2 linked regions of the Coturnix japonica genome follow. Each later gene encodes a partner of the first gene's protein in a complex. Links are inferred from orthologs where the notes say so. Each region holds a gene or a part of one and is shown on either strand. Other genes may lie near its edges. The genes, in order: NSMCE1 and NSMCE2.

Region 1 (4,558 bases):
TTCTGCTGCTACACACCACTGAAAGGAGCCTACCCCCACTGACTTGATTCCTGTACTTCAGACATTTATAAACAGTGATGAGATCCCCTTTCAGCCTTCTCTTCCCTGGGCTGAACAGCCCCAGGTCTCCTATCCCTCACTAGGTACTAGAGATGCTTCCAGGCTCTCATCACCCCCCAGGCCCTCTGCCAGCATCTCTCCAGGTGATCCCTGCCTTTCTTCAAGTGAGGAGCCCAGAACTGGGCACAACACCAGGACAACTTGGAGCAGAACACAGTGCTACCCTTGGAATTTATAAGCTCTAGGGAAGGAGCTGAGAGAGGCAGCAGCAATGAAAACATCACTTGGCCTCTGCGAGGGAAGAGGGAACCAACCTGCTGCTCCTCGTTGGCAAACCGGGAATCCACGCAGGCTGTCATGAGTGGGAGCTCAGCTCACACACGTGTTTTGTTCCTGGAGCCTTTTACACACGCGTCACTCCAACTTGCCCCATGAAACTGAGCATGGCGGAAACTCATCAGGGAACGCAGCCAGGGAAACTCCAGCAGGAAGGGGGGAGTCGGGGCTCAGCTCCCGGAACCGCTCGCCCTGCTCCACCGATTCTGCTATCTGCTTTCGAGCCTATCTCAAAGTGGCCTTAAGCTCTCTGAATACACACGGATTGGGACTAACTGTTAAAGAATGAAATCCGCCTTTCAGACAAACCTTCCTCATCCCTTCCGAGCAATTCTACTGCGGTAAATGCCCCGAAAGCGGCACACGCGGCCGGAGAACGGCGCTCAGTGACAGCGCTCAGCGCGGGGACCCCCGCAGCCCCGACGGGACCCTGGGCAGCCCCGGTCCGCTCAGCCCGGCCGGAGCAATGTCGGAACTGCCCACGGGACGGAGCTCCGGCAGCGGTTAATGAACAGCACTTACACACAACGCGGACCCACGGGGCTCCTCGGAGCGGCTCCAACTCCGCCGTCACGGGCAGCGCCGACAGCGGAACCGCCGCCCCAGGACGGGTATCGGCGGGTACCGGCACGCAGCGACGGGGACCGGACCGGACCTGCCGCCCTACACGGTCGGAGTCCACCGCGGAGAAATCCTGCCAAACCGAACCCGAAGCGAATCTCGACACCCCACCACCCCACCCTGCTTCCGCCGCCGGGCGGGGCCGGACCCCTCCCCGCCCCTCCGCTCAGCTCCCGCACCGCCCCCGCCCCGCACAGCCCGTCCCGGCCACAAGGGGGCGCCATCACCGCTGAGCGGAGGAGGCCGCGGAGATCGCTGAGCGGATCGATGGCAGGAGGGAGCGGCGAGAGCTGAGCTGATCGTCTTGGAAGGACGAGCAGACACAGGCCTTCCTGCTGCCATTCATCTCCACCTTCCTGCTGCCCTTCGTGTCCGACCTGGAGCCGCTGCACGGAGCACGGAGCAGGCTGTAAGAGCCAGAGGTTGAGGGGTGCGGGGGGGGGCAGCGGCCCAGTAATTAGGGAGTTGAATTGAAATGCTACTTGTGCTCAGAATGTACCTTGTTCATCTGCACGCTGTGTTAATTGCAGTTGATGTTTTGCAGCATCTGAAGCCTGGAGGAACATGGCAACGGCAGCTCAGATGTCTGATGCCCATCGAAGGTTCTTGCAGGTCCTGATGTCACACGGGATCATGGAGGGAGCGGAGGCGAGGAAATTACACAGGCACTGCTGTGAGATCAGCAAAGGTGGGTCATTATTCTGGAAAGAAACGTGGAGAGACGTGAGATTCTTTAGGTTATGTATGTTTAAAACATGGACATTAGTTACTCAGTGAAGCAGACCCCAGTACTCTGCTGCTTTTCCATAATAACATCAAGTTATGAGCTGCTGCTTAATGCCCAAAGTCGAGTTTTGGATGTAAACTTGGGAGAATGGTGCTGTTCCTGTGCCTGAATTGTGTCTTTGCTAAAACTTATACTATTTCATTTGCTTATGAAGTCGGACACACAATATTAAGTATGACTACAAAGCTAAGATGTTCTGTGGTAAGTTGGCTGGGTGTGCCAACTTACCACTAGTTTATGAATCAGAAAACAAAGAAACAAGGAATTTGTTGTTGATAAGAAATCAGTTACATTAATTGCACTTAATGGGCCTGTTTGAACTCTGTGTTTCTTTCTTATTTTCAGTCTACTATGCACAAGATAAACTGGATGATTTTGTCAGTACCATCAACAACCAGCTACAGCCTTTGTTCATGCAGATCCGGAAAGGAATGTCTGAAGTTGATGGGAAAACTCATTATGCCTTGGTAAGTATGTGAGGTGCTGCCATCTGGTGGTTTTAGCTTCTCATAACGAGTAACATGGATGGATACACTGCTGAGATTCTGCCATGTGTCTGATGTAACGTTAACCATTCAATAACGTGTTAATAAAAGCACAACAAAAGGTGGGTGAACTGGGCAAAAAACTGAACTGGAGCTAAGTGTTATCTTTGGATGTTAGTAAAATTGATTTATCTAGGATCTTTCCTTACAATGTAATACAACTCCTGCATTAGAACATAGAACAAAGGGCTACATCTGCCAGCATGAGATGTGCCCTTAGCACATCTTCATTTTTTGGGGGGCTGTTGCACTGTTATGCTGACAACAGCTGTGGAATCTACTTGTAGAGCAGGGAAGTGAGAAGATAAACTGCCAACAGTGTAAGTGTGTGGGAAGGGAACATGGCAGCAAAGCCCATACCAGCATCTGATTTATTTAGCAGGAATAGCCTCTTTCATGGCACTTAAAGAAATGATATTTCTGTTAATTTTAAGATGATGTATCCCTTATTTTGGAGGATCTTTCACTTTTTGTTTTTTTGCTAGGTGAATATGGCAGAAACTGAAATTACTAAAATGGCATCTGACTATGCAGAAAATGAACTCGAATTGTTCAGAAAAACAGTAAGTATGACTGATGTTAGTTAGTAAATAACATCATTTGTGAAGGCACTCTCTTAAAATGAATGGAAATCTGAGATGTGTTTCAAGAATTAGTTGCCTTCTTGCATATCGTAATTGAAATTTTATCCTAAGTGAAATGGGGCAGGGAGGGAAATGGGAATATATACAAGTAATGGTTCTCCTCTTAAAGAGAATTAGCTTTTTTAAATACTGTATTCTAATGTTTTATTTAATAAACTAGAAAGGGAGGTTATTGACTGTTCTGGGACAGCTGCTGCAGTGTCATCTAAACTGATACTATTCAGAATCCACACTGCCGTTATTGAGGTAGCATCTATACAGCCACGTCTGCGCTGCAGAGATGGTGTAATCATGGCACATATTACCACCAGCACATCAAGTCTGCTTTCTGCTCTGTGATAATGTGCAGCAGGAATGTTCCCAATGAGAGAAACTCTGAAAATTGGCAATTTATGCTTATGTTCAGATGCTGAAAAAGCTGTACATTACCATAAGGTGTGTCTATCTAATTGCACAGTCTTTTTAATAACTGAAAATGTCTCTTTCTATAGATGGATTTAATCATTTTATCAGAAAATGGTTTTGCCTCTTCTACGGATATTTTAAACTGTGCTGACCAACTGAAGACAAAGAAAATGAAGAAAAAGGAAGCGGAACAAGTGCTGAAAGTTTTTGTGGATGATAAGTGGCTCTCTGAGGTAACTGCTTTGTCTTTCTAAGTGCTTGTGCTTTAATAGGTTCAGATGTTATTTTCTCGTGGATGTTGTGGCAGAAGCAGAAAAAACCCCCTTGAATGTCAGGTGCTTGCTAAGAGGTGGTGAGAAAAGTCCAAAATGAAGAAAGGAACTAAGATATATTGCTAATCTCAGTTGTTGTTTCCACAGAGAAATGGGGAATATACTCTGCATACCCGCTGCATAATGGAGATGGAACAATACATTCTCAGCACCTACCCAGATATAGCAAAGAAGTGTAATATCTGTCACAGCCTTGCCATCCAGGTAATGCATCTGATTAACTCAGTATCTGCAAATGGGTTTCTTTCATAGTGGAAGCTTGTGACACTTTCCCTCAAGTATTAGGCAGGCAGTGAAAATTCCAACGTTGTAATCTGGTAATATTACGTTTATAATGTAGTATAATGTAAATAACTGTAATCTTCCATATGACACACATTCGACTTTGGTTGTGGGATTTCAGTTCAGGAATTGACCACCGTGGACTTGAGAATGAATGTGTATTTATACATAGTTTCCTAAAGCACTGTGTGATGATAGCTGGTAAGTTTCCAATTTAGTCTTGCATAAGAGATTAGAACCTGTTCTACAACGATTACATCCTCTTGCTCCTTGCCCTTGAATCTTCATCTTCCCAGCTTCCTTCCCTAACATTACTTTTTCCATCCTAATTGCTCTCATTTACTGCAGCCGAATAGCTCAGCATTTGTCTTTCAAGCTAAATTAAATCCACGTAGGAAAATGGCATTTCTTAGCTTCCTGAAGAATAATTCCCGTCGTGCTTTGCCAGCCTTGATTTCTGAGTGTCCTTCAACTGTAACTTGTGAACTGCTGATGGGTATAAACTCATTTATTTGTAGCCTTTTGTGATGGCAGGGCAGATTAGAA
Region 2 (4,511 bases), on another chromosome or scaffold:
GATAACCAAAGGAAGATGGGCATACTGCCCACAGTACTGCTCCAGAAAACCCAACCCACTGCACAGGCTCAGAACCTGGTGGTGAAAGCAACATTTAGAGTTACTTCAGGAATAACATCCAAGAAGAAAACCCACAACTCAAGTCTTATATGAGCAGTATTTGCCAAAACTCACAGGCCAGATGACTCCTCATACATCTGAAAGACTGTTCTTCTACATAATATACACAAAATTGTAACTCCCTTTTAGCACTAAAACTATGTGTGGGTACTAGTTATACTGCTATTCTGCCCAGGTGCCTGAGAACAGAGCACTCACCAGACTCCTCCTCAATTAAAGTAAGATTAGACTAAGTATGACCAAAACTATACAAAATGAAGGACAGCCCAAAACTGGAGTGTTTGTATGCGAGCACATCCCAGTTACTACCTCAGTTTGGTAAATCTTTGGTAAGCACAAAGCAAATCACAGAAGTTAGATAAGACCATGAAGGTCACCTAACCATCACACCCACTAAACCATGTTCCATGGTACCACATCTACCCTGTTCTTCAGAACCTCCAGGGACAGGGACTGCGCCACCTCCCTGGGCAGCCTGTGCCAATCCCTCATCACTCTTTCTGGGAAGAATTCTTTCCTAATATTCAGCTTGAACCTTCACTGGTGCAACATGAGCCTGTTAAAAACCTGTCAGCCTATCACTGTTACCTGGGAGGATGACTCCCACCCCACCACAATCTCCTTTCAGGCTGTTGTAGACAGCAATAAGGTCTCCCCTGATCCTCCTCTTCCATGACTGAACAATCTCAGTTCCCTTCTCTGCTCCCCATAAGATTTGTGCCCTTCTCTGGGCACATTCCAGGACCTCAATGTCTGTCTTGTAGGGACTGAGCACAGTACTCGAGGTGAGGCCCCACAAGTGCTGAGTACAGGGGGACTGCAGCAATAACAGGTCACTACGGTCAATTCTGAAGCTTATTAGTAATAAACACGATAGTCAGGTATTGGCTTTGTAAGCCTTATGTTCTACCAGGACAACAACGCTTTACAGAGAAGTTTACCAACAGAAGAAAGGGGTTTACCTTAAAGTAACTGAAATCAAAGATGATGTCTCCATACTTCTGTTGATCAGCCTTGTCCTTCAGCCTGAAAACCCCGGGGATGAATTCGGAAAGCCTTAAGAGCTCTGCAATGATCGCATTGCCACAGGAGACGATCCGAAGAATCGCCTGACCACACAGATTGTTTTCAGCAAGGAAATCCACCATTGTGGAGCTGGATGCGGACACACAGCACGAGTCCTGCTGCCTGTTTTTGACTGTCGGCTTTTAGGTCATTGGGCGAAGGAATTCTAATGAGAAAACGGGCTCATAACAAAAAACAGGAGCGGCGGAGGCAGCAGGTGAGCGGGGCAGGCGGCGGAACGGCTCGGCCCAGCCCCATCACATGACGGCGGCGTCGCGCAGAGGCGCGGGATGATGAGGCGGTTCCGCCGATCGCTCCGCCCCGCTGCCTCGGTCAGGCCTCGGCGGAGGGGACGAGGTGAGCGGCCGGTGCCCCGGGGGGCTCGGCTGTCTGCTTTGAGGATGGGGGGTGAGGGGGGGGTTGGGAAGCGGGGCTCGGTGCCGTTTCGGGTGAACCTAATGAGGTTCAACACGGCAAAGTGCAAGGTTTTGCACTTGGGCCGGAAGAACCCCAGGCACCTGTACAGGCTGGGAGGAGTGGTCCTTGAGAGCAGCTCGGCAGAGAAGGACCTGGGGGTCCTGATGGACGAGAGACTCAACATGAGCCAGCAGTGCGCTCTGGCAGCCCGGAAAGCAAATGGGATCCTGGGCTCCATCAGGAGAGGGGTGGTCAGCAGGGATAGGGAGGTGATTGTCCGTCTCTACTCTGCTCTTGTGAGGCCCCATCTGGAGTACTGTGTCCAGGTGTGGAGCCCTCAGTACAAGAAAGATATGGAGATTTTGGAAAGGGTCCAGAGGAGGGACAGGAAGATGATCAGGGGGCTGGAGCACCTCCCCTATGAGGACAGGCTGAGGGAGTTGGGTTTGTTCAGCCTGGAGAAGAGAAGGTTGCGGGGTGACCTCATTGCAGCCTTTCAATACCTGAAGGGAACTTACTCCCAGGAGGGGAGTAAACTCTTGGAAAGGGCTGATAATAGCAGGACTCGGGGAAATGGTTTTAAGTTAAAAGAGGGAAGATTTTGGTTGGATGTTAGGGGGGAGTTTTTCACTAGGAGAGTGGTTAGGCCCTGGAACAGGCTGCCCAGGGAGGTTGTGGGTGCCCCGTCCTTGGAGGTGTTCAAGACCAGGTTGGACGGGGCCCTGGGCAACCTGATCTAGTAAAGGTGTATGTTTGGTGGCCCTGCCAGGCAGGGAGGTTGGAACTACATGATCCTTGGGGTCTCTTCCATCCCAAGCCATTCTAGGATTCCATGGTTCTATGACTATTGGATTGTTTTTGTCAAAAGAACAAAAACAACTGACTTTCTACTCTCACTTTTTCAGATCAGTTTGCCTCATTATATTTTCCAGAAGTGAGGTGTAAACAGCAACAACAGTGTTGTCTGAGTGTACTTAAATTGCCTTCCAAAGTCGACTTGAGATGTCTAACTCCCAGTGCAGTGGTGTGATGTAGCAGTGTAAATGACAACTGTAGCTCCCATATAGTTTGGTCAGTGCTTCCACAAATACGAAGAGAATGAAGAAGCCTGTTTAATTCTTCACTACTTCTTTGTTTCTTATCCCAGAGAAGACAGCGTGACAGCAGGTGTTCAGGTCTTATAATTTGCATGATCATGAGGAACGTAGCAATGTTGTTCACTTTAGGATGAGTGCAAGAGTTAGTTATGGAATCCCAGGGTAAGTAGAAGAGGGAGATGCCAGTGTGAAAGGCTTGGGGCAAAGCTTTGTCCTTATATCTGTTGGATTTTGGCCTTTCACAAGCTATTGTTCATACAGCAACTCATTCTCTTGTCATTTTGTGTACCGTTTTGATAAAATTTCTACTATAAATCAATTTTGGTTGTGGGTTCTTTTCTCTTCCTGCTCCCCAGTATGGTCTCAGCGTAACTGTTGGAAATCCTAGTTACTATTTACATAAAGATGATTTACTGTTAAATGCATTATTAGATAAGTTGCCCTTTATTTTTTTCCAAGTAATAGCTGTTGTAACAGGCTTGTTGGAGGGGCTGAATTTGATGTGGAAAGTCATAGTTCTTGTTAGCGTAGCTGATAACGTGTCTAGAAAACAGGCTGACTTTTGGGTACGTGGACTTTTTTTGGATCTGAAGTTGAGCGGTAATTTTCAGGCTAACATCTATGAGGTTTTGCAATAGAAATAAGCAGGTGAAAACTGCAAGTTGCTTCTTGTGGTGCAGCTGAGCTTAATTTTGAATAAGAAGGATAAAAACCCCTTTGGTGATTTGCAGTACCACTTACACTTAGGACAAGGGGGAATGGTTTTTAAACTAAGACAGGGGAGGTTTAGGTTAGATATTAGGAGTTTTTTCACACAGAGTGTGGTGACACACTGGAACAGGTTGCCCAAGGAGGTTGTGGATGCCCCATCCCTGGAGGCATTCAAGGCCAGGCTGGATGTGGCTCTGGGCAGCCTGGTCTGGTGGTTGGTGACCCTGCACATGGCAGGGGGGTTGAAACTATATGATCACTGTGTTCCTTTTCAACCCAGGCCATTCTATGATTCTGTGATTTATCCTTGCTCTCTGATGTTTCAGCGGTCCTGTTAACCGTGCTTAATGGTGAGCTATCTGCAGTTCGGTTTTCTCCCCAAAATTCTTTGGATGTAAACTACACTCAAAATGTTTTGTCTCTTACTTCTAGGGTAACAACTCCAAGATGTTGAGGGGTACAAGGATCTCGTTCAGCTCCGTGAATTCCTCTCTCTCATCTCTGAAAAGCTGCCAGACTTACATAAATACTGGAATGGATATTGCTACCCACGTTGCCCTTGACCTGGTGGAAAATTTCAGTAAGTAATTCCTCTGAGTATATTCTTTTGTATTGCATCCTGAATTAATCCTGGGCCTGCATACTTTGATTTATTTATAATCATTTGTCTTCATTGTGGGAGCTGTTGCTCTTCTGGCTTTACTGAGTGTTTTCATTCCAGTCACCTAATTGTCTTCAATAACAAATTCAATGAGAATAGAATTACCAAGCAAACATTGTCCCAGCTTTTGTAACACCCAAGACTAATTACATTCTGGTGCTCATTATCCAACTACTTTGTAAAAAATTCATTATTGCTGTACAAGATGCAGAAGACCTCTTAAGGTGAATAAAACCACTTTTCTTTCTAATACTGCTTCCTTGTGTGTGTTTTATTTAATGTTTAGGGCAAGACTTTAGAACTGCTAATGATTTGGAGTACAGAGCTTGAGACACTTGTTAAGGGATGCAGCTTTTTAAAATGCTGTCTTGTTTCTCTGATGAGAGACAGAGAACCTTCAATCTCTCATCTCTTGTAATGGTCTTGTCAGTGCTATTTCA

The links.
Region 2: NSMCE1 (region 1) and NSMCE2 share a complex: the UniProt entries of both Homo sapiens proteins name them as parts of the SMC5-SMC6 complex. The link is inferred for Coturnix japonica from reciprocal best matches to the Homo sapiens genes NSMCE1 and NSMCE2.

Annotation. Positions count from the first base shown.
Region 1 is NC_029529.1:7,177,471-7,182,028, reverse strand, and holds the start of NSMCE1 (non-structural maintenance of chromosomes element 1 homolog), read left to right. Parts: upstream 1-1,566; 5' UTR 1,567-1,581; coding exon 1,582-1,705; intron 1,706-2,149; coding exon 2,150-2,271; intron 2,272-2,834; coding exon 2,835-2,912; intron 2,913-3,484; coding exon 3,485-3,631; intron 3,632-3,817; coding exon 3,818-3,934; intron 3,935-4,558. Other genes in the region: IL4R (interleukin-4 receptor subunit alpha), read right to left, coding at 919-1,424, 1,517-1,525. UniProt on the Homo sapiens protein: RING-type zinc finger-containing E3 ubiquitin ligase that assembles with melanoma antigen protein (MAGE) to catalyze the direct transfer of ubiquitin from E2 ubiquitin-conjugating enzyme to a specific substrate.
Region 2 is NC_029517.1:125,030,720-125,035,230, forward strand, and holds the start of NSMCE2 (E3 SUMO-protein ligase NSE2), read left to right. Parts: upstream 1-1,448; 5' UTR 1,449-1,542; intron 1,543-3,842; 5' UTR 3,843-3,857; coding exon 3,858-3,990; intron 3,991-4,511. Other genes in the region: WASHC5 (WASH complex subunit 5), read right to left, coding at 1,083-1,268. UniProt on the Homo sapiens protein: E3 SUMO-protein ligase component of the SMC5-SMC6 complex, a complex involved in DNA double-strand break repair by homologous recombination. Is not be required for the stability of the complex.